5 linked regions of the Cricetulus griseus genome follow. The protein of the gene in region 5 purifies or fractionates together with the protein of the main gene of each other region. This does not show direct contact. Links are inferred from orthologs where the notes say so. Each region holds a gene or a part of one and is shown on either strand. Other genes may lie near its edges.

Region 1 (4,451 bases), on a different chromosome or scaffold from region 5:
TTTTTTTTTTTTTTTTTGAGACAGGATTTCTCTGGGTAACCACCTTGGCTGTCCTGGAACTTGCTTGTAAACCAGGCTGGCCTTGAACTCACAGAGATCTACCTACCTCTGCCTCCCAATGCTGGGATTAAAGGTGTGCGCCATCACTGTCCGGTTCTAAATACCTTTTCTTAGAGGTAATTGGCTTTGCTGGTTAGACTATTCTTTATCTCCAAGTGCCTGCATACAGCTCAATTAGGGCCCAATTAGCTACATACCCCTACTAAACCTTCTAGGATGAAGCCTCATCCCACTTTTGAGGATCTGCCCAGACCCGGCCTGGAGGCTTATGCCTATAATCCTAGCACTTGGGAGGCTGAGGCAGAACTGCCAAGAGTTCGAAATTGGCCTGAAAACAAAAGCAAGTAACTTCCCTCAACGTCGTAACGCCGGAAGGACTGCCTCTCACCCTCCACCGAACCGCAGCGCCCAGGGTGGCCTTCCGTTCCCGCAGCAGATGCCGCGCACTCCCACCAACCCTAGGCCCTCACCCGTCGGCTGGTCGCCTGCCACGCGCCTGCTCTGCATGGCTCCGCGGGAACCCTGGGCCCCAGTCCTAGCACCAGCTTTCGGCATATTTCGTGTAGTCCGGAGGAAGGCACCACTTCCGCTTACTGATACCCAAGTCCCACCCCCTCCGGGGCCCTGAGCCAATGTGGTGAGGGCTCTGGCAGAAGCGCAGCTCTATACCAGCCAGACCTAAATCCTGGGGTGGATTAGGTACTCCGTGCCATGGGGTTTCTTCAGATGCTAGACTGCCAAGCCAGACTCTGAAGGGAGGCCCTTTACAACTCCATCGTAGCCCCCAGAAACAGGACACGTTTTGAGGTTTTACATTTTATAAAATCAGAGCTGGCTGATCTTCGGGGGTACAGCAACAGCTCAATGATGGGAGAAGCTGTCTGTTGGTCCCCACTCCCGAGGGCCGGGGTGGGGGGTGGGGGTGAGGGGTTTCATGCCAACAGCTGAGGCTCCTTTCAGCTCCCGGGCAGGTGCTCAAGCAGGGAGAGGGATGGTGACGAGGAGAGGGAAGCTCCTGAGGCTCCAACACGGCTTGTCTTCTCCCGACTCCTGTCCCTTTCCAGCACAGCCTGGCTGCCCCGCTGGCCTGGGTCAGAGCAAAGGCCCAGGAGCCGTGGAGGGAGGTGGATGGGAACAGAGCACCAAGGGAAGGGGCCCTCGGCCCAAGGGAGGAGAGTGGCCCTCCCCCCACAACTCCCCACTGAATTCACAGCACAGAAAACACCTCTAGTCCACCAACTCCACGTGGAGGTATACTGAGTCCAGGGTCCCAAGGGGCAGGCAGGTGAGACAGGCAGGGGCAATGAAGACAAGAGCAGGCTCAGGAGGGGAGGCGGCGGAACTTTCTTCCTATAAGTTCCTATCCGTGGGAGGAGACAATGGGGCGGCTGATATTGCTGTTGGTGGTCATCGCATTGAGCTCCCACCTGGAAGGCCAAAAGGGGCAGAGAGGTCAGAGGTGGTCTCTATGGCAAGCTCCGAACTCTTTAGACAAAGCTAGGAACACAGCAGCCCCTCCAATTTCCCACAGCCATCTCTGCCTTACAGCCCTTTAACCACCAGACCCCACCCACCACTCAATCCAATACCACCTACTCATGCACCTCCAAGAGCTTGTAGATTTCCTGTTTTTGTTTATACAGATTCCTGAATCCAAGCACCTGGATAATGTGTACCCACCTCCGTAAACATCCCAGCACACCTCTCCTGCTCTGCAGATCCAGCCCAGCAGGCTTTCTACCTCTTCCCACTAGAGCACCTATTCTTGCTATTTCTATTATCTTCAGGTCCTGATTCATATCCTGTTCTCCCTAAACTTTAGGGCCTAAAGTCTTTCCCACCCACCCCACCCAATTAAATTATGTTTAAACAATCCTATCATTCAACAAAGTCTTAGGAAGTATTCCTTACACCAAGACACTAAGACATGTACTCAGTGTTAAGGTACCTGCACCTGGGATTCATCAGGTCAAACTATAAGCTCTGTGTCACAAAGGACACACACACTTTTGCAAGTAAGAAAGAACTGGCTCAAGGAGTAGGGTTGTCTCAGAGTGGCAAGCGAGAATAAATGACACATGGAGTGACATTTGGAGCATCACTTGAACTCAATACTTGAATTCAGAGGCAAGGAACCAGGACCTTTCTCACTTCTGGAACTAAGAGGGTCCAGTTAGCTTTCCCCTTGCAGTCAGCCCTGTAATTCATTCAGCCACTCTCAACAGTCCCCAAACAAAACTGCTCGAGGAAGCAGGGTTTCTGAGCATGACTATACAACTCAAAAGGTGTTTTTCAGAGCTGACACTTGTCACATGATGGCTGCACCTTCAGCTCCCTTGTTCCTCACAAAAATTTCACCTCCAGAAAATAGAAACGTCTGTCTTCTCCGTTGAGACTGAGCTAACTAGTCACACCTGCGCAGTCACTCACCCTCAAGCAACCCCTCCTCTGCAACCACTTGCTTTACCTGATATCATGGGGCAAACAGGACTGGTCCAGGTTATACTGAATCACGGCCAGCTTGCACAGAGTTTTCAGACTAGGGCCTTTAACGGAAGAGTTAAAGGACAGTCAGAGCAAAGGACAGGTCCCACCCTGATCACCACCCAGAGACAGAGAACCTGACAGTAGGAGCACTTCAGAATTAGGTACTTACTAAAGTCCAAGATGTGTAAGTCAGAATGATCTATGAGGTCAAATTCATCTCCCAGGCCTTCCTCGGGAGAGGGGCTGTACAGACACAAAGAGGAAGAATTAAGTGGCGGAACTACCCACAAGACCCCTTACTCAGATACCTCCCCCTCTTCTGTTACCTCCCCTCTTCTCTCCTAACCTGGTACCCCCGAAGAGGACAATCTTATCACCAACAATACAGCAACACTGACGCCGGCGGGGACATGGCCCTTTCCCCTTTGGTTCAATCTTTTTCCAAGTAAAGGACCCTAAAGAGAAGTTCATAGAGGATCAACACCCGGCCTACCCAGACATCGCTACACACAGTTCACCCCAGGCCCTCACTTATTCAGGGTTACTCTTTGCCTCCCACCTCACTGTCCTTTATCCCTCCCTTAAGGGTAATGTTTTTTACCAGGATTAAACTTCCAGAGGTCATGGAAGTGCCGGTTCAGCCTTGCATTATAGCCACCAAAGATGTACAGCTCCCCATTGTAGCCAACTGGAAGGGCAAAGACATGTCAAGAGCGAATGGGATACCACAGGGAAGTTCACACGAACATAACAGACACTCACAAGCTGAATGGCTCCTGCGCCCCTCAGGCAGCACTGGAGTGTGTGGACAGTCAAGCCAGGCCTCAGTTCTGGTGTCAAAGACTCGAATTCGGTTGCAGTAAATCTCATTGTTGGAATGAAACGGCCCAAAGCGGTCAGCACGGCCCCCAAAGACATACATGTGATTGCCCAGCATGGTGGCTGAATGGAAGTCCCTCCAGCGTGCAGGGTTACCCTAGCCAAGAGCAGAGAGACGGGGAAGAGCCTCAACAGGGGCTCAAGGAGGGGAAGCTAACTGAGCTTCCTAGGATTTCAACAAAAGGTGGGGATGTGACAGAACAAAGGTCAGACCTTTGTGCAAACAAGGGTCCATGTCATAGTGCTGGTATCCAGCTTGTGGATGTCATTGGAAAAGCAGTCTGCCTGAGTGAAGAGAAAGGAAAAACAGGGGTGTCAATGGTTACTCTTTAATCCTCTACACCTTCCAATTAAAGCCTTCTGTTCCACCATGAAAATTTTCCTCTTTTCCTCTTTTTGGTATAAACCTGTAGTTTTTTTCCACACTTACCAGCTGTTCATATCCCCCAAAAATGTACATGATCTTGCCCAGGACACAGGCTGAATGTCCATCCCGGGCCCCAGGAACTGTTCCTGACACTCGGGGTGTAGACCACTTGTGAGTATCTTTGGAAAGAGGAAAGAGAATGCCGTGGGCCAGCTGACACACCCACCTTAGTTCTGGCCTTCCCTTCTCTAAGACTCCACCAACAACCCCCTCCTTAGCCCCAAGGCATCATTTGAGACCATACTCACTGACATCAAAGGCATAGAGGACGTTGCAGGCCCCTTCTGTATCATTGCGCCCACCCCAAAGGAAGACCGTGTCATCGATGAGGACGGTTGAGTGTCCATACCGCATATAGGGTACAACAGGAGGCTGCCCTCGGACAGCAGGCCTCACTGGAGGCAGCTTTGTCCAACGCAAGGACACTGTGGGCACAGTTCTGCTCAGTTATGGGAACCTCCCTCCAGGTTGCCACCTTATCCCAAACTAAACATTCTTACCCAAACCCCCTGACCACAGAGACCACCACCAAATTTCATTCAGGTGCCCACTACTTCCCCAGATGTGGGAACCCAAGAAAGGTCCCAGAACTGGCTTA
Region 2 (4,259 bases), on a different chromosome or scaffold from region 5:
AAAATCTAAGACTCCTCTTCTATCAAATGGGACAGCTATTCAACACCAGGCCTAACAAGTCCTCTACCATATAAACCTACATACATACCCCTAAGTCCCAGGCCTGTCAACACCAGGCAGCTAGAAGAGGATTAGACAGCCAGTTACTGGGAGAATGGGACCCTGGAATTGGGCAGAGTTAACTCCCCCAAGCTAAAGGGTCGAAATATACTTAAAATTGAGTTTCCCTCTCAAAGAAAATGACTGAATTTGAAAGTGACATAAATTCGTATTCTCACATCTCAGCCTTGAAATGAAGCTCAGTTTTTGTTCAGTGTCACTCAAAACTCTGCAAACTTAGCAACAAATTTTGAACATGGCCAGTAATAACACCTATGATATATGGTCACTGGCTGGTAGGAGCCTCTTCAAAAAGATGAGGATTAGGGAAGCTGAGGGTGAGTGACTGGGGCCAGCTAGAGGCAGGGAAGGTTTTTAAATCTGCCGCTTACAAAGAAACAAAATTATATAGAAACTGCAAGAAGGTTAACAAATGCTCGTGGCAATCAGTACTGTTAGGAAGCAGCTGCTCTCAACAGCTTCTCACAATTTAGTAATCCCAAGAACTCACTAAGTTCGAGATTTAAAACATTTGAATATAAATAAGTGGCTTAGTTTCTTATGACAAAGCCCTTCTTTATAAACCATCAAGGTCAAAAGAAAACCTCTCTATGTCTGGTTAAGAGAGTGTGCTCTACCCTTCTATACACTCACGTGTTCCTGAGTTAGGTTACTGGTTGCTCTAAGGCCCTCATCGTGAATATGATTTTGCAGCTCCTGAATCATATGAGGTAAGCCACTGGACACAGCACGGAGCAAGACGTACATATTTGCCATGTCTGAGAGAAAAAGAGCGTTTATTAAGTTCTCAACCTTATTACGTAATGCATGCTTTAAAATGGAGAAGTTAAAAGGAATGTGTGGATAAAAGGCACGCCCCACTTTAACACAAACATACACTCTCACTTCCCAGTCACCTTACCTCCCTCTCCACAAGAAAGCAATGCTGTTGTTCTTTACTATTTAATGATGACGGAGGAAAATTCAAGAAAATACACATATTTCTTCCCCTTCTTTCCTTTGACTCAAGTACTATTGTGCATTGTATGTGCTATTAGCAACTTCAGGCTATCTAAACTTACAAGTATCTTATACTAGTACATAAAGCAATTCCATGTATTTCACAGCTTTGTTACAATTACTGGGAAATGATTGATGTTGTGATTAATAACTTGGGGAAGAATATCTGTAGTATAAATCCCTGAAGATGCTATGGTTTGTGATCTTATAGTGAGATCCTTCTAAGCAGAGAACCAAGCAAGAAGTTCCTGTGACACTGAACAGTGAGAAATAATGCTACTGCATACTGTCTTCATCTTAAATGACTTGTTGAGATATTAATATACATGCAGACAACTGTCTGTATGACTCTGTAAATTAGTACAACACCCCATATGTGCACACTCAGGCTTAAAAACAGATACTCCTTATCTAGCAATGCCCTACAGCCATCTCCTGACCACTACTGCTCTTCTGCAAACCACAGTAACCGCAGGTTGAGCTCACCTGGCTTGAACTATGAACATAAACAATTACACAATGTTTCTGTCTGATTTCTTTTGTTTCTTACATTTAAGGTTCATCTGTGTTGTGTTTAGGTTTAGTGTGTTCATTTCTCTTCTGTAATAGTCTCTGGTATAAGCATCATTGGGTATGTGGATTAGTTCTAGTCATTACAAAGAATGTTGCTATGAAGACCCTTGTACGGTTTTTTTTTTTTTTTTCCCCGAGACAGGGTATCTCTTGTAGCTTTGGATCCTATCCTGGGCAGTTTTAAGGTTGTAGTATTATTCATGTGACTCTGTAAGTTAGCTTAGCAACTTTTTTTTTTTTTTTGGTTTTTCGAGACAGGGTTTCTCTGAGGCTGTCCTGGAACTAGCTCTTGTTAGACCAGGCTGGTCTAACTCACATAGATCCGCCTGCCTCTGCCTCCAAGTGCTGTGATTAAAGGCGTGGGCCACCAATGCCTGGCTCCCTTGTACATTTTTGTACACGCATGTATGTATGCATAGGGAAGGAGTCCCATGTCTAGCATACTTGTTGGACCATGAAATATACATATATATTACTTTGGCACTCAGTGATAGCTTTGCAAATACAGCTGCATCAGTTTATACTCCCACCTGGCTCTTGGCCTCTTCTCGCCCTCCCCTTTACCCCATACTACTGCCTATATAAGCTAGCCTGGAAAAAATAAAATTTGCCACTTGATCAGAATACTGTCTTGTGGTCATTCTCTCAAGTCTCTTGTTCCCGTTCCCCTCCCTGGACTTCTTGCCCTAGGTTACTGTCCCGCAGGTTGGGACAACTACAGTCTTGTATTTATTCTGACTACACATCAAGTATTAAAAAAAAAGTGTTTTCACCTTTTATTGCTAGTATTTCTTTAAACTGAGTTAGATTCAGCATCCCTGTTTTATCCTATCCTTCCTGATTCTGTACTTCTTTTTCCATAGTCTGATTTCCTATTGCAGATAAGGAATTCTCAAATTAAGCAGAGTAACGCTTGAGATATATAAAAGCATAAACACATTTCCCTAATTCATCTTTTTACTTTAGACTGTACTTTGGAAATGCTTTTCCAAAACTCTAAACTATATTGAGTCAGAAAAGAACATATACTATACCAGGGAGTGTGCAAAGTAAGTAACAAACGATAGAAATCTTCTATGTATCATTTAATTCCCACTCACATGTCCACAGGGTGCACTTACCATTCTTTCTTTCTTGCCGAATGATGTTGTGGCACTCTGCATGTAAGAACTGTAAGTGGTCTGCTACCATACGCTGCTGACACTCGTGAATCACTTTAGTATATGAACTTGGATGCAAATATTTTCGACATCTAATTTCTTCATCTTTTAATCTACCTAGAACCTACAGAAATATATTTTTACAATTATGAACTACGACACAAAGTTTAATATCAGCTAGCTCTCACTACCTCTAGGGGGATGCAGGTCAGGGTATATGGAAAAGCTTTAACAATTTCAACTCAAATTTATAATTCATTTAAGATCTACTTAGGTTACTGCCTGTCACCTACATCCCCCCACTACATTCTGAACAAGAACTATCTTCATTGATCAGCCCAAATCACCTGCTGTGTCAGGAATCCAACACAAAACAGGAGTAAAGTGTAAAGATCAATACATCAAGTAGATTCTTCCTTTTTTCCATTTTATGAAATGGGAACAAACTACACAAACCATGCTGTCACATTAAAGACCCCCCCACCCAAGACGGTTTCTGTGTAACAGCCCTGGCTGTCCTGGAACTTGATCTATAGACCAGGCTGGTCTCGAACTCACAGAGATCCACTTGCCTCTGTCTCCTGAGTGCTGGGATTAAAGGTATGCACCACCACTGCCTGGCTTAAAGACTTTTATAAGTGAGTCAAACAAGTCAACCAAGAACTTTTATCAAAGATTATTCTGTATGGAAAGAAATCAAGTCCAAATAAAATGCAGTTCAATAAAAAGTTAGTAAAGATAGGAAGATGGTAAAACACCTGCCCAATTCTGTAACAAAACAAAACTACAATATTATAGGCATGAAGACTATGCTAGCTGACACATATAAAGTTGTGTGGACTAGGAAACCACTGTGATTAGAAGCTAAGGAAATAGTTTCTGGACTTAAGCGACCCCAAGGAATTATGTGAATGGGGCTTTTAAAGATTGGTGGTTGTCTGGAAATAAGGATAGGGAATCACTGGAAATATAATGAAATATCTCATTAGAACACTAAACGAGATTCTATTCTATTGGATACCTACTAGTATAGGTCTCTAGATTTTAAAAGGTAATCACTATGTTGTTTTGCTAGTCCCCTTACATTATTTCATCTTCCCCGTTAAACCATCTAGCAAAAATCATTCAGTACCAAAATGCTTGAAACATAACACTGCAAACCAAAAGCTGGTTAAACCAGACACAGAGATGCACATCTGTAATCCCAGGACTTAGGGGGTGAAGGCAGGAGGACTGCTAGGACATGAAGGTTGAGGAAGACTGTTTCAAAATATCAAGAAACCAAAACTTAAAAAAATCTAGGTAAAATTCTCATGTTTCTTTATAATGACTCTATCACTCTTTCTTATTACCATGAAACTATTAATAGGGTTTAAAATTCCTTCTGGAGGTTTGATACAATGTTCA
Region 3 (4,738 bases), about 13 Mb from region 5:
ATAAAAGGGATAGAACAAAGTAGAGGCAAGATGTCTACTTTCTGATGCATTTTTTAAAAGCTTTAAACAGTGGTTTTAGGGTAACCAGAATTTCATAATACTTTTCATAAAGAATCTTACTTGTTATTTACTTTTGTGCTCTGAATGGCACTTGGTCATCAAACATAATTAGCACCCTGCTCCCACCATCCATGCCCTAGGATGAGTGACATTTTTACTACAATGCTAGTGTTTGATGCCCACATGCAAAATAAGGGCTATAGAAGACTACAAGGCTCATTTCATTCATAGACTTTAGGGCAGGAAAGGTTACTATTCAAAATAAAAACAAGCACATACTCTTCCCTCCTTTCTCCACATCTGACCTGTCATTAGGCCCTGCTAGCATAGACACGGAGAAGCAGCGATACTGCGTAGAGAAGCGGTTCTGGAAGACCCGGGGAATTGGGTGGTCAAACATGTTGAAAGAAAACTAGAAGGAAGAAAGAAATGGTATTATTATCAAATCAAACAAAGGTAGTTAAAAAACAAAACAAAAAAGATGAGGATTGTGACTTAGCCTCCCACATAACTGGGACTACAGTGCAGCCACTGTATCTAGCTCAAAGGTATATTTCTCCAGACCAAAGACTAAGCATTTATCAGTGCTGATAAATGTGGCCAAAGAATGTAATCATTAAAATCCCATTAACCAGAGTGTTCTGGCAGCACATGAACCTCAAATCCTTTTTTCTCCCCATCTCATCCCTCAGGTCCAGTTTCCATTATCTGTAGACACTGCAACTTTACTAAAGTAAGATTTAGTCATACCAGGCCTTCCCTTCCCATCTTTTTGCTACTATTCCCTATTCTCAGATCAAGGCTGGACCTTACACATACCTCACAGAAACTCATTACCAACCACCTACCATCTCCTAACTTGGCACATTCCTGCTGGGCTTGTAACTATCTGGAGCCTTTTTTCCCCCCTCCACCCTTAACTTAGAACATCACCTCTTTTTCTGAGTGCCTACTATTTGCACAGCTCTGATGTGGGCTTTAAGGAACATCACTTTAGTAATGTTTGGGTACTAAGAAGGCAGATACCACCTCTGCCCTGGTGAATCTCATGTTAAAGACAAGGAGGATAACAACAGAACACATATGTCTGGGGGTTTAAAGACAAGAAGTAGGAATGGGGACAGAAAGCACCTGAGAATGGATGTTAAGCAAGTGTTCAAGAGGACATCCTCATTAGAGGCCTACATGTCACAAGTCAACTGGGCAGGAAAACATTCCAGGTGCTAGAAAAGCAGTTTGTCAATGTATGCTTGTGTATGCCAGGCTTCATCTGGCTCTTTACAGCAATCCCTTTGTTTCTCCAGCAAACCCCCCTTTCTTGGCCATGAGTCAGGGTTGGTGCTTCTCTGGGATGCTCACAGTACAGAACAGACTGTGTTCTCAAACCAGCAAGCAAAGTCAAGACATGAGAGACTGCACCCAAGATAGTCTGCTGACCTCTCATGCAGATACAGACTCAAACGTAACAACCCTCCCATCTCTGAGATCTGCCTGCCTCTGCCTCCCGAGTGCTGGGATTAAAGGTGTGTGCCACCACCGTCTGGCTAAATCAAATTTCTAAGTTCATTTATGTAACTAGCACTGAGTACTTGATGTGTTAGGCACACACACATTCCCACCAAAACATCTTAAAGGATGGTTCTTCGGTTACAAGCACAGACATTTTCAATCTTTTATCTTTTTCTCTAAGCACCAGAACTGTTTGACTCTGTCTTAGGTGCATAACCCACAAAACCCATTTTGAATGAACAAAGCTCCTTCCCTATGCCACTCTTGATTCTGTCTGAAACATAAAAACATACATAGAGAATGCAGCAACCTAGCAATATCCCTCCAACATGATCTTCTGCTCCTCCTTTACTGCTCCTATCGTCCATGTTTAAAGCTTTGATGTCTAACACATCAAGCACTGAGTGCTGGTTACATAAATGAACTTAGAAATTTGGTTTAGCCGGGCGGTGGTGGCACTCGCCTTTAATCCCAGAACTCGGGAGGCAGAGGCAGGCAGATCTCAGATTTGGAGGCCAGCTTGGTCTACAGAGCGAATTCCAGAACAGCCTCCAAAGCTACAGAGAAACCCAGTCTCGAAAGGCAAACAAACAAACAAAAGATTAAACAGTGACACTCTGAGTAAAATCTAATAACCACTTCTTGTTTTTAACAAACTTGTGACATGGAGTCGACATCACATGCAGTAGCAATGAAACACCGCTGCAGCCCGATGGGTGTGACTCCAAATCTCAGGGCCTCCATTTTCGTGATTACTAACCCTGTAAGTTTTAGATCTCTCGGTTCCTATAATAACTACCTACGTTCCTAGAGGACTGCAGGAATTAAACAAGGGTGCTGACAGGATAAAGAAAAAGAAAAAGAAAAAAAAAGCGCCCAATATATCACCTACTGTCGTTATCACAACGTGATGAACACAATGTGACATATATCCTAAGACATAATCTCTACTGCATAAAAGGCCACGGAACTTAGGCAAAGCTTAATGTCCTTCGGATTTTCCTCCCTCGCGCCACTCCCCAGGAACGCTCCAGTTAACTTTGAGTTCATGGAAACCTGTTGCGTGTCGAGATATTAGGAGAACTATGGACACAAAGTAGCAGGTTCCTTTCTATCTTCAAGGGCTGCAGTCCCGCCGAGAAGCCTACAAGTCATGACTCCGACAAGCCAAGAGGCAAACAGCCGGCTTGTAACTACGGATCCCACTTTGAACATAAGCGCTTGGGACGGCGGAGCGGGCCGGAGGCAGGCCCGGGTGACTCGGCACCTCCGCCGCCAGGTCCAGGCCCTCCCCGCCGAGCGCCGCAGGCAGCACTGGCCTCCCCCGGCTCCCGATTCCCAGCCAGCTTACCATGACTGACAGTACTTGGTGACGCCGCTTCTCTTCGTGAACCTTACAATAGAAACCCAGAGCTCCCTCTACACAACCGCGGCCGCCGCTCTGAAACCCAGAACCCGCGAGAGGCTCGCCGGAAGTGACGAGAGAGATACCGCAGGGAGCGTCCCGAGGCCTAGCGTCACCAGAGAAAAGCAGAAAATCACGGAGATGCCTGAACTTTGAAAAGTAGTCAAAGAAAACACTAAAACACTTGATCACTTATTTCACAGGACAGCGACTATTCCTGATGCTTAGATTCCCTCCCGAACAAACTTGGTAGGCTCCATTCTTGTTATTGACTACAATACCCAGAATGCAGCTAGAGCTTCCGGCTTTGGCTTCAGCCATTACGGACTCGGGCGGAAGTACGTGCTATAGTGCCTTGAAAACGTAATTGCCGTCCTCAAACGATATGTAACTGAATTTACTATGTCTAGGAGTGTATTTTCCTGAGTATCCCAGGATGAGATGGTAGGCTTTTCTTCCCGAAGTAAAGATGTCCGCCGAGCGTAGGGGGTTTTGGGTAACTGGAAGTCAAAGACAGTAACAAGGTTCGCAGCCTGACTCAAGATGATGCTTCTTTGGGGGGGTGGGGCGGGGGCGGGATTTCTCCAGCGGCGAATAGCAGAGCTTTATTGGCTGTCCCCAATAGGACCCAATCAGAAAGAAGGAAAGGCTAAGAACTATTGGCTGCTGGCGCGGGCCAATTGGAAGAGCCGTGATTTGGCGGGAGTATTCACCACCTCCCCGGCTACCGGTGTCTCAGCGCCAGCTCTGGGTATCCGGCCGCAGTGGCTATGTTCGTGTCCGATTTCCGCAAGGAGTTCTACGAGCTGGTCCACAATCAGGTGACTCCCATTCCACCATCCTGGTCCAAACCTTATTTGAGGGGAAGGGATGAGGGCGAGTGTCCGTGAATGGGCCAGCAGGACCGGGTGTTGCCACAGAGTTTGAAGTGCCTGTGCTCAACTCACCTGTCTGCATTTCCTCCAACAGAGGGTCCTTCTCTTTGTGGCCTCGGATGTGGATGCCTTGTGTGCTTGCAAGATCCTTCAGGTGAGCTTTGGATACCTTAGGAAGACAGGGCAGGGGGCAAGAGGTGAGGGAACAGGGTTGGCCCCAGCAGGAGGGTGGGGCGCAGAAAGGGAGGGACCAGAGAGAGCTGAGGAGCTGGTGACCCAAAGAGGGGCCCAACGGTCCCTCTCTGAACTATACTGGGAGACAAGTGGTGTTTTTGTTTGTTTGTTTGTTTGTTTACAAAAACTCACTTGAAAATGGTTTCACTCCTGAAATCTTTGAACCTATAAATGACTATCAAAGATGGAATTTGAGAGAGGACTGTGATAGTTGGGAGTGGCATCATAGTGAGTGCTGGAAATACAGGAGTCTGTTAGAGAGGATCATTAGTTGGGGCTTTAACTATACTGTGGTTTTTTACAATAAGTGGGGGTCAGGAACTTTTCAGAACACCTGTAATTAAAGTTACTTTCCCCCTTAGTGTTTGACTTTGGCAAAATTTGACAGATTTGGCAGAACTGTACACTGAACACTTACATCCCTGCCTCCTGGCTTCTCCTATTTTTGTTTGTTTGTTTGTTTGTTGTTTCTGACAGGGTTTCTCTGTGTAACCCTTGCTATCCTGGAACTAGCTCTGTAGATCGGGCTGGCCTCGAATTCAAAGATCTGCATGCCTCTGCCTCTCAAATGCTGGAATTAGTGCGCGCCACCACTGCCCAGCTCCTACCAAACAGCATATCACATAGATCTTCATCTCTCAGCTCAGCTAATTTG
Region 4 (4,936 bases), on a different chromosome or scaffold from region 5:
GGCATGTGACACCACACCATGTTAGAATCACCATTTCTTAGCTTGATTCCTCCAGAGACCAAGCCGGGACAAACATTCTCAATTCTAAAATGGAATACCAGCAGTCATTTAAATTTTTTTTGGGGGGTGGGGGTGGGGGAATGAGTTTCAAGGCAGGATTTCTCTGTTGCTTTGGAGGTTGTCCTGGAACTAGCTCTTGTAGACAGAGATCCGCCTGCCTCTGCCTCCCGAGTGCTGGGGTTTAAGGTGTGTGCCACCACCGCCTGGCAACCAGCACTCATTTGAAAGAGGACAAAAAAAGTTATGTGAAGGGATATAATTCATGTGCTTGATGAACAGTAAGAACTCAACATAGCAGCATAAGTTATGGAAAAGTTTGATTTTGATAGTGACCATCATCAATAACTGATAGGTTTCCAAAAATAGTCAATAGTAATAAATAACAATTATATACCTAATGTATCTAAGCAAAGTGGTTAATAACATTCACAAGTAGATGTAGACAAACAAGAACAATGGCTGTTAAAAGCCATCTGGGTTCTATTTGTAAGTCTGAGTAATCAATTCTAAAAGTTATAGGACATAAGTGACCAAACTTAATTCTTATTTTGAGGGGTGGTTTCAAGACAGGGTTTCTCTGTGTACCCCTTGTTGTCCTGGAACTTACTCTAAGCTACACTGGCCTCGAACTCAGGGACTAGCCTGCCTGTCTCCCAAGCGCTGGGATTGAAGGCTGGAGCTAGATTTCAAATATCAGTATAAAAATAATTTATCCGAACCAGGCACCCTGGAATACCCTGCATTCCCAGCACACTGGAAGAGGAAGGCAAGAGTAGTCAGAAAATCAAGGTCATCCTCTGCTACAAAAGAACTCCAGGACAGTCTTGGCTACAAGAGTCCCTGCCCCAAAATGGGGCATTAGGGGTTTGCTTGAGAACTATTCCCCGTGAAAGCCACTCACTCCAGATAAGATGATTGAGTGCGCCAACTGCGGCTTTTCCTTTTGCATTTCATGTACTAAAAATCCAAACCCTCAATTCCTCCCAAACAACAATCTCTACCTATTAGTAGCTTAAATCTTAAGCACCTGTTTCTCTGTTTCTTAATCTAGAAACTTACCCACCAAAAAACGCTTTCCAGTTTCAGTCTTAAATCCCTGTGCTTACTTCTTCACTGCCCCTCTCCAGTCTACAAATCAGAATTACCAGCCCAGAAGGAAAGCTGCACTAACTAGATGTGTGATGAAGTTGCAAGGCACACAAACCCTGCCCGCCCACATGTTTAATACTGCACAACTTCACTGTCTTAGTGGTTTCCTTGCCCTGAAAACGGCTGGCATGGATGGAAAGACAGACACACGACATACATTACATAACAAGGATCAACTGAAATGCTACTCCCATTTCACAGACTGGGTCCAGGGGCTGAGGACTCGCCAAGGTCACACTTCCTAGCAGGGGCCGCAGTTCTGCTGGGACACACTGCACTTTCCAGTATTCATTCAAGCTCGCGCTCCTCGGGCGGCGCTGTGTGACACTCCCCTCCTTCGCCCACCGCCACCGATCCACAGGTGCCCCCGTGTCGTAGCGACATCGCGACCCCGGCCTTCGGAGGCCCGTTCCCGGTCCCGCCAAACCGGACTCACCTCCGAGGACGCGGGGGCAGGCCCGGCCGGGCCGCTGGAGGCCAGCTCCCGTCGGTTCAGTAAGCTCGGCCGGTGGCGGCAGGATCCGCGAAGGCGTACCCGGCGGCTTCGGCGCCTCCCCTCTTCAGCAGGCGCCAGAGGGGGCGCTTCTCCCTCCTCGCGAGACAGCGGAGACCCCGGCGGCGGCGGCTGCGACCCCTGTGACGTAGAACGCTCATCACCAAAGGCAGTTTGGGGGCGGAGAGAAGGCGAGGCCCATCCTTCCACCCCCTCCGAGCCCGCCCAGCAAACGGCGGCCCCACCCCCCACGTTCCGGGCGCGTGCGCCGTGGAAGGAGCCCGCAGGGGGCGGAGCCTAGGGCAGACGCCAGACCCTGCCCAGCCCCCCACCACGGGGGGCGCGTGTTTGGGGGTGGGGGCGGAAAGGCACGAACTCATCGCTGCCAAATAACGCGGAAAAACCGAAACCCCACGAACTTCGACGAGTTCCTGTAATCCTCTCGAGTGTAACAAGAATCGGACCGAGTCCCACAGAGCCTTCGTCCCCATGTCTTCTTTAGCTGGGATGAACACCAGGCGTCGAGCACTTCCCCAGCCATCGCCTGTCTCCTAGCGGCCTGCTTCCCCTTCCCGCCCCTGCAATCCAGACTAAAACCGTGTCTGACATCCGCGCCCGAAGCCGCGCAGTCCGGGCTCCGCCAGCCAGGGCTCCTGGGCGGACGTCGCCAGCATCCTCAGGCCGAGCTGCCCGCCTGCCAAACTGCTCTCCTTGGGACTTGGTATTTCACATTTGCTGAGGTCCTAGACTCGATTAAACATCCCGTCGACACTTGCTGAGTGGCAGGTCCACCATGCGGGTAACACATTTTTAAAAATGCCACATATCTAAAAACATTCCCAGTAGTAAGCGACAGCATTCTTACTAGACGTTCTCGATGAATGGCCGAACTAACAGTTTACAACGATTCTCCAGTTACATAAGGGAGTGGATGATACTGTTCGTGCCAAGCATACACATATAATCGTTTATCCACATCTTGTGGAAACGGACGCGGGTATGGGACGGCAACTTTAATTCTAACAGCCTATTTTCAAATAAACTCACATGCACACGATGGCACACTATTCTGCGCTATAAGGCACTGCGACTGGAGGAAAAGGGGACTGAGGAATGTCCATCTAAGCGCAAAAAAAGCGCGATTTTAAAATTTTTTATTTCCTCCGCTGCCTGAAAGGCGGGCTAGGCCCGGATCACGTGACGCGCCCCAACTTCGGGCGGAAGCGCGCCGGGAACCGCGGAAAGATGGCTGCTGCAGCGGGGCGGACGGCTTCGGGGAGCGAGCTCTAGGTCCGCGCCACCCCACCCCTGCTGATCCCTTACCATGAGGCCCGTGAGTCGCCGCACCCTGGACTGGATTTACTCCGCGGTAGGTAGCGAGGACGATGGAACTCCCAGGCGCCGCACCCCTCTGCCCGCGAGGCAAAGGCCGACTGTTCGTCTACAGCTCGGAACTCCAAAACCCATTCCTATATTGAGCGTTTACGCCCCGCCCCCGACTCCGCCTCTTCCTGGAGGACACGCTTTTCCGCCCCTGACGTCATGGCTATCGGGCCCTGGCCTCAGGCCTGGGTCCTAGTGCCTGACAGGCTGCTCCCACCTGTAGCTAGCTGGTAACCTGGCCTGAGCAGGCCAACTACCCAGCACATTGATTTTTCTTTTCGCCTTTCCTCCCCTCTTTTAGTTGCTACTTGTGATCGTTTTGCTCTCCTGGGGATTCGTCATCTACGCATCAACTGTAGCTGCACGACGACAGCTACAGAAGGCTTTTCCAGACAAATTCTTTGAAATGAACGAACTTTGGTAGTTCCCAGCAAAACCTGGTTTTGTCCCTCAAATGGCACCTATGTAGACTTAAAAGTAAAATTCACAATACAAAATTGTGTATGGTCTTTTGTGATACGCGTTAGCATGCTAATTTTTCATATGGATCAAACAGCCCTTTCTTTCTGTATCAGGTTATAGATTTTTTGTTTGTTTGTTTTTTGTTTTTCGAGACAGGGTTTCTCTGTGTAGCTTTGGAGTCTATCCTGGAACCGGCTCTTGTAGACCAAGCTGGTCTCAAACTCACAGAGATCCGCCTGCCTCTGCCTCCTGAGTGCTTGGACTAAAGGCGTGTGCCACCACTACAGGGCCAGATCATAGATTTTCATTCTAGTGCTTCAAACACTTCATAACCTCATGCCACATCAGTATGTAAACAAACCTATCACGTGATTAAAACGTGTTTTGCATCCTGTTTATCAAAACGGACAGGAAAAAAGTAGCTGATGGCTCTTTAGTATTTGTCTTTTTTACTGTCGGTCTCAAGAAATATTAACAACACTCTGAGAATAAGCTTTATTAGTTACTTTTCCAGGAAACAGATTCAGTAAATACGAACTATATGAAGAGACTTTTGCTGTTACACAAGTCTTTTAAGTTTTAAGTGCTCTTTAATGATGTTGATCAGGAAAATCTTTCATTGGCGGAATTACTTCTCCAGTCTCCAGAATTGTATCACCCTAGGAAAACAAGTAAATGTTTAGTAAACTGTAAAATGTTTCAACATCTATTTAACACAATAAATTACTGTAAGCATACTTTACATTTTGTTAACTCACAATTAAGCCAGGCATGGTAGTGCATACACGTTTAATCCTAGTACTCTAAAGGCAGAGGCAGGTGGATCTCTAAATTTGAAGCCAGCCTGGTCTATACAGCAAGTTCCAGAACAAATAAGACTACATAGAGAGACCCTATCTCAAATAAACAAACTTTCAAAATTATTTTCCATTTTACTTAAAACATTTAAATTTGGGGGCTGGAAAGATGGTTCAGTGGTTAAAAACACTGCTGCTCTTCCGGAGGACCTGGGTTCAATTCCCAGCACCCACATGGCAGCTCACGGCTGACTCTAACTCCTGTTCCAGGGGACCAGACACCCTCATACAGACATACATGAAGGCAAAACACCAATGTGCATAAAATAAAAATAATTTTTTTAAAAATCTCAATTTGGATGCTATATTTCCACCTATATTGATGTATATATTATATGTATATATATATATATAGTTTAAAAAGATTAATCAAACTATTGCATTAGGACTTAAAAATTAAAGAGTATAGACATAATAAAGTACATATTTAAACTGTATAATTATGAAGTATGGATACACCTGTGAGACCATCACCACAATCAAGATAATATATTTAGCATTACAAGATTTAGTATTTTATTCCTCCCTCCTA
Region 5 (4,259 bases):
TAGCTTAGACAAAGCAATGAAACCCTATCTCAAAAAGGTAAAAATACATGCTATAGGGCTAGGATTTAACTCAATGGCAGAGTACTTGCCCAGTAATGGTGAAGTCCTGGGTTTCATTTATCTTTACACACACACACCTACCTACCTGTTAAAGTCATTAAAACAAAAGCCAAAGTGCCAGTCATGGTGGTATATACCTTTAATCCCAGAACCTGGAGGCAGAGGCAGGCAGATCTCTGAGAGTTTGAGGCCAGTCTGGTCTACACAGGAATATACAGTAAGACCCTACCTCAAAACAAAAACCACTATTTCAGGCACAACCAAAAATAAATAAACAAGCAATCAAGAGCAATCAAGGAAATAAGCGTGCGTGCGTGCGTGCGTGCGTGCGTGCGTGCGTGCGTGCGTGCGTGTATACATATATATGCTCCCCAAAAATAAATAAACAAGCAATCAAGGAAATAAGCAAGCGTGTGTGTGTGTGTGTGTGTGTGTGTGTGTGTGTGTGTCTACATATATATGCTCCCCCAAATCAACTGCAAATATCTACTATTGAAGTTCCTATCAACTAAATCATTTTTCAATTTTATTTGTTTGTTTATTTATTTATTAGAACAGACTAGTCTGGAATGTGCCATGTAGACAAGAATGGCCTAGGAATTAACAGAGATCCACTGGTCCACCTCCAGAGTGCTGTAATTAAAGGGGCATAACATATCAGCTGGATCAATATTGATTTCCATTAAAACTCTGAGCCATAGCGGGGCGTTGGTGGCGCACACCTTTAATCACAGCACTTGGGAGGCAGAGGCAGAGGATCTCTGTGAGTTCGAGACCAGCCTGGTCTACAAGAGCTAGTTCCAGGACAGCCTCCAAAGCCACAGAGAAACCCCTTGAAAAGCCAAAAAAAAAACAAAAAAAACAAAAAAAACACCTCTGAGCCATGTTGGGGAATGGGATCACACTTGAGGTGGTTATCAGAATGGTTATCAGAAAACAAAAACAAACAAGCAACAACTTTGTAAGCTATTAATATGATTTCTAAAGTTCCTAACTCATGTAGAAACAATATTCCATTAATCTGAACTTAACTCAACAAAGGAACAATTATATTTGTATGTGACCTGGTTCTTAAATTATGTCTGACTTAATAAAAATAAAACTCTGGCCCTTTGCCTGTTGTATTTAAAATGATTCCATATTTAGTTTCTCTTATTATAAACTATGAGAATTACAAAAGATTAAAAGTATTAGAGTCTTACTTAAGAACTTTTAAATTAAGGGTTTTTTTTGTTTTGTTTTTCTCACTATATAGACCAGGCTGGCCTGGAACTCATATAGATCTTGCCGGCCTCTGCCTCCTGAGTGATGGAACTTCAATACTACGCCCTGCCCCCTTTAAAGCTTTTTATTGTTGTTGTTAAAATCAATTCTTAGCCGGGAATTGTGGGCACACCTGAGATCCTAATATATAAACAGATCTGAAGTCAAGGCCAGCCTAGGCCACAGAGCAATGGTATCTCCAAAAAAAACCCAATGGCCATCTGAGTGCAGAGGCATGTATCTATAGTAGTCCCAACAAGTTTCAAGTCTAATACTTTCCGAAGACTGATGAATTTTGCTCAAAAGTTATATATCTATTGCAAACTCTCACTAATAAAATATAAAGGGCTAGAAAATCAAATATATACAGTTCTAAATACAGTGGTGATGCTTTTAGTGATTAGGCAGGTAATTAAAATGAATGGACTAGAATTTTTAAAAATGATTTATTTACTTTGCGCATTGGTGTTTTGCCAGCATGCATTTCTGTGTGAGGATGTCAGATCCCCTAGAACTGGAATTACATTCATGAGCTGCCATGTGGGGGCTGGGAATTGAACTCAGGTTCTCTGGAAGAGTAGCCAGTGCTCTTAACTGCTGAGCCTTCTTTCCGGCCCCTTAAAAAACTAGTATTTTTTTTTATGCACAATTACATTTATTTATTTGTTTGTTTGTTTGTTTGTTTATTTTGGGGGGGATGCTACATCTTAAACTCAGGTCCCATGTATGTTAGTCACACATTCTACCACTAAGCTATACATTCAACGTTAGTTTTCAAAAACATTTCAAGATAACTCACTTTCCTGAAAAATATAGGAAAATTTACATTTGGAAATATGAACTTCATTAGACTGTATTTGCTTTTTAACTGCTGTGTAGCTTAGAAAAAATGGCCATACTCTAGTTTCTTCAGATGCAAAATAATAATACCAATCTATAAGGTTCTTAAAAAACAAAAAACCCAAACCCAAAATGACTTCGAACTTGCTCTGTAGCTAGGAATGACCTCGACCTTCCAATTCTCCCATAGGCACTCCCTAACTGTTAGGCTTAGACGCATGTGTCACTAAGTCTGTTTATTCAGGGTTGGGGCTTAAACCCAGAACTTCTTGAATGTTAGACACTCTACCAACTGAGTTAAATCCTCAGCCAACAAAATTATTTTTGTTGTATAGCTGGTGACTGTGAAGCACACAAACCTCAATCTCAGGCCAAATATAATCAAGCAGTTGCACCCTGTACTCTTGTCACCTGCCTGCCTGCCCATCTTTAACCCGCACAGTTCTTTTGAGGAATGAAAAGGAGAGAGGATTAAAGAGACAAGATGGTATGCTCTAGAGAATGCAAATACAAAAATTTCCACTATTTTTCAGATTCTTTCAACCTTAAATGTTTTTCAAAGCTAGAAAATTAACCTAACTTTGATAAAAATGCAATTTAGGCAAAGAGTAACTGCTACAATAAATAATAAATTCATACTCTGTGTGTGGTCTGACAGCAGAAACACTTGCTGAACTGGTACTGGGCTCCTCAGCAATTCCTCCACCATCCAAAAACATAGTGACCGCCATCTCCAGGTTGTTGTTACAAGCTTCAAGCATATGTTTTCCTACACTTTCACTTGCGCCTGAAATAGAAAAGACAGTTAAAAATGACATCTTACAGTCAAGCTCACATTAAAACATGCAATTCCCAAGCAGATTAACAGTCCTTCCCCCTTTAAAATGACTTGTACAAAAACATATTTGTTTACTTTTGTCCTGTTGGCTGGTTGGTATAAACACAGAGGTAGAAAATAGCACGACAGTATCACAGCAGTACAATCATTTTTTTCTTTTTCTTTTTTTTTTAAATATGTTGTGGTTTTTTGTTTAAGACAGGTCTCACACTATAGCTCAGCCAAGTGTTCAGCTCAGAAATCCTCTGCCTTAGCCTCTTAGCTTACAAGAATGAGCCACTGCCACCATGCCTGACTATTTATCACTTCTTTGCATGTATGTGTGTGCATGTGAGTGTACATGCACAGAGGTCAAAGGACAATGCCTGGTAGTGTTCCTTGCTTATACCTTGTCAGACAGAGAGTCTCTTACACACCACTACCCATGTTAGGCAAACTACCTAAGAAGCTTCCAGGAGATTCTCTAGCCTCTCATCTCAACGTAGGAAGAAGGAGCACTGGGATGTGTGCTACGGTCACTGCCTTTACATAGATTCTGGGGATTTGAACTCAAATTCTCATGCTTGCATCTCCTTAGCTCCATTTGCAATTTTTTTACAAGGCTGAATTATCTAGTGTGGTGGTATATACAAGCACCTGGGGCTCAGGGGCAGGTGGATCTCTGAGTTCAAATAGTAGTACCCTGTCTCAAAATCAAAACAAAACCATAACAGGGTAAGTATATTTTTTTGTTAGTAATGATAAACTAAAAAATAGGATAAAGAAAAATTAAAGACTGCATTCTAGAAAGTTAGAAATATTTTCTGTTGAAGAAAATGCAACTCAATTAATATTTTATCTATTCAAAAGTTTTTGAGGAGGGGCTGGGCTAGAACTCAAACTCAGAACACATTTTAACATCAAACCAAGAGAAGTAACCAAGACAATTTTGTCTAAGATATAAATATCTGGTAAAAATGTCAATCTTTGCTATTTAAAACTGGTCCAAACAATCATTTGTAAATAAAGCTAGTACAATCTGTTGAGTGAAATGTAAATTGGTAAAACCCTCTTAAAATAATTTTACATGTACCAAGAAATTCCTTTTTTGACTTAGTTGTACCGACTTCTAGAATCAAATCAACATACAATATTACATGCACAAACATGTTCAGAAATATGTTCAGAGTAGATTCAATTAATGAAACAAATTTTGAAACATAAAGCATCCTATAATAGTACAATGTGAACCATAGTATGTATTTGATTTAAATATTAT

What was found.
Region 1: the proteins of Ubxn7 (region 5) and Klhdc3 purify together in Homo sapiens (affinity purification with mass spectrometry; 3 studies listed by BioGRID and IntAct, with this or other methods). This does not show direct contact. The link is inferred for Cricetulus griseus from reciprocal best matches to the Homo sapiens genes UBXN7 and KLHDC3.
Region 2: the proteins of Ubxn7 (region 5) and Cul2 purify together in Homo sapiens (affinity purification with mass spectrometry; 6 studies listed by BioGRID and IntAct, with this or other methods). This does not show direct contact. The link is inferred for Cricetulus griseus from reciprocal best matches to the Homo sapiens genes UBXN7 and CUL2.
Region 3: the proteins of Ubxn7 (region 5) and Ufd1 purify together in Homo sapiens (affinity purification with mass spectrometry; 3 studies listed by BioGRID and IntAct, with this or other methods). This does not show direct contact. The link is inferred for Cricetulus griseus from reciprocal best matches to the Homo sapiens genes UBXN7 and UFD1.
Region 4: the proteins of Ubxn7 (region 5) and Topors purify together in Homo sapiens (affinity purification with mass spectrometry; 4 studies listed by BioGRID and IntAct, with this or other methods). This does not show direct contact. The link is inferred for Cricetulus griseus from reciprocal best matches to the Homo sapiens genes UBXN7 and TOPORS.

What each region holds. Positions count from the first base shown.
Region 1 is NW_023276806.1:256,093,670-256,098,120, forward strand, and holds the end of Klhdc3 (kelch domain-containing protein 3), read right to left. Parts: intron 4,279-4,451; coding exon 4,102-4,278; intron 3,973-4,101; coding exon 3,857-3,972; intron 3,712-3,856; coding exon 3,640-3,711; intron 3,524-3,639; coding exon 3,310-3,523; intron 3,236-3,309; coding exon 3,149-3,235; intron 3,003-3,148; coding exon 2,894-3,002; intron 2,791-2,893; coding exon 2,717-2,790; intron 2,607-2,716; coding exon 2,528-2,606; intron 1,488-2,527; coding exon 1,421-1,487; 3' UTR 861-1,420; downstream 1-860. Other genes in the region: Rrp36 (ribosomal RNA processing protein 36 homolog), read right to left, coding at 531-615. UniProt on the Homo sapiens protein: Substrate-recognition component of a Cul2-RING (CRL2) E3 ubiquitin-protein ligase complex of the DesCEND (destruction via C-end degrons) pathway, which recognizes a C-degron located at the extreme C terminus of target proteins, leading to their ubiquitination and degradation.
Region 2 is NC_048596.1:210,660,191-210,664,449, forward strand, and holds part of Cul2 (cullin-2), read right to left. Parts: intron 2,977-4,259; coding exon 2,814-2,976; intron 879-2,813; coding exon 754-878; intron 1-753.
Region 3 is NC_048597.1:70,383,368-70,388,105, forward strand, and holds the start of Ufd1 (ubiquitin recognition factor in ER-associated degradation protein 1), read right to left. Parts: upstream 3,079-4,738; 5' UTR 2,924-3,078; coding exon 2,921-2,923; intron 473-2,920; coding exon 340-472; intron 1-339. Other genes in the region: Cdc45 (cell division control protein 45 homolog), read left to right, coding at 3,745-3,795, 3,944-4,003. UniProt on the Homo sapiens protein: Essential component of the ubiquitin-dependent proteolytic pathway which degrades ubiquitin fusion proteins.
Region 4 is NC_048595.1:102,285,782-102,290,717, reverse strand, and holds the start of Topors (E3 ubiquitin-protein ligase Topors), read right to left. Parts: upstream 3,184-4,936; 5' UTR 3,072-3,183; coding exon of another isoform or gene 3,029-3,071; coding exon 3,026-3,028; exon of another isoform or gene 2,880-3,025; intron 2,502-2,879; exon of another isoform or gene 2,008-2,501; intron 1,844-2,007; coding exon 1,646-1,843; intron 1-1,645. Other genes in the region: Smim27 (small integral membrane protein 27), read left to right, coding at 3,027-3,071, 3,387-3,509; Ndufb6 (NADH dehydrogenase [ubiquinone] 1 beta subcomplex subunit 6), read right to left, coding at 4,138-4,206. UniProt on the Homo sapiens protein: Functions as an E3 ubiquitin-protein ligase and as an E3 SUMO1-protein ligase. Probable tumor suppressor involved in cell growth, cell proliferation and apoptosis that regulates p53/TP53 stability through ubiquitin-dependent degradation.
Region 5 is NC_048597.1:57,184,497-57,188,755, forward strand, and holds part of Ubxn7 (UBX domain-containing protein 7), read right to left. Parts: intron 2,951-4,259; coding exon 2,803-2,950; intron 1-2,802. UniProt on the Homo sapiens protein: Ubiquitin-binding adapter that links a subset of NEDD8-associated cullin ring ligases (CRLs) to the segregase VCP/p97, to regulate turnover of their ubiquitination substrates.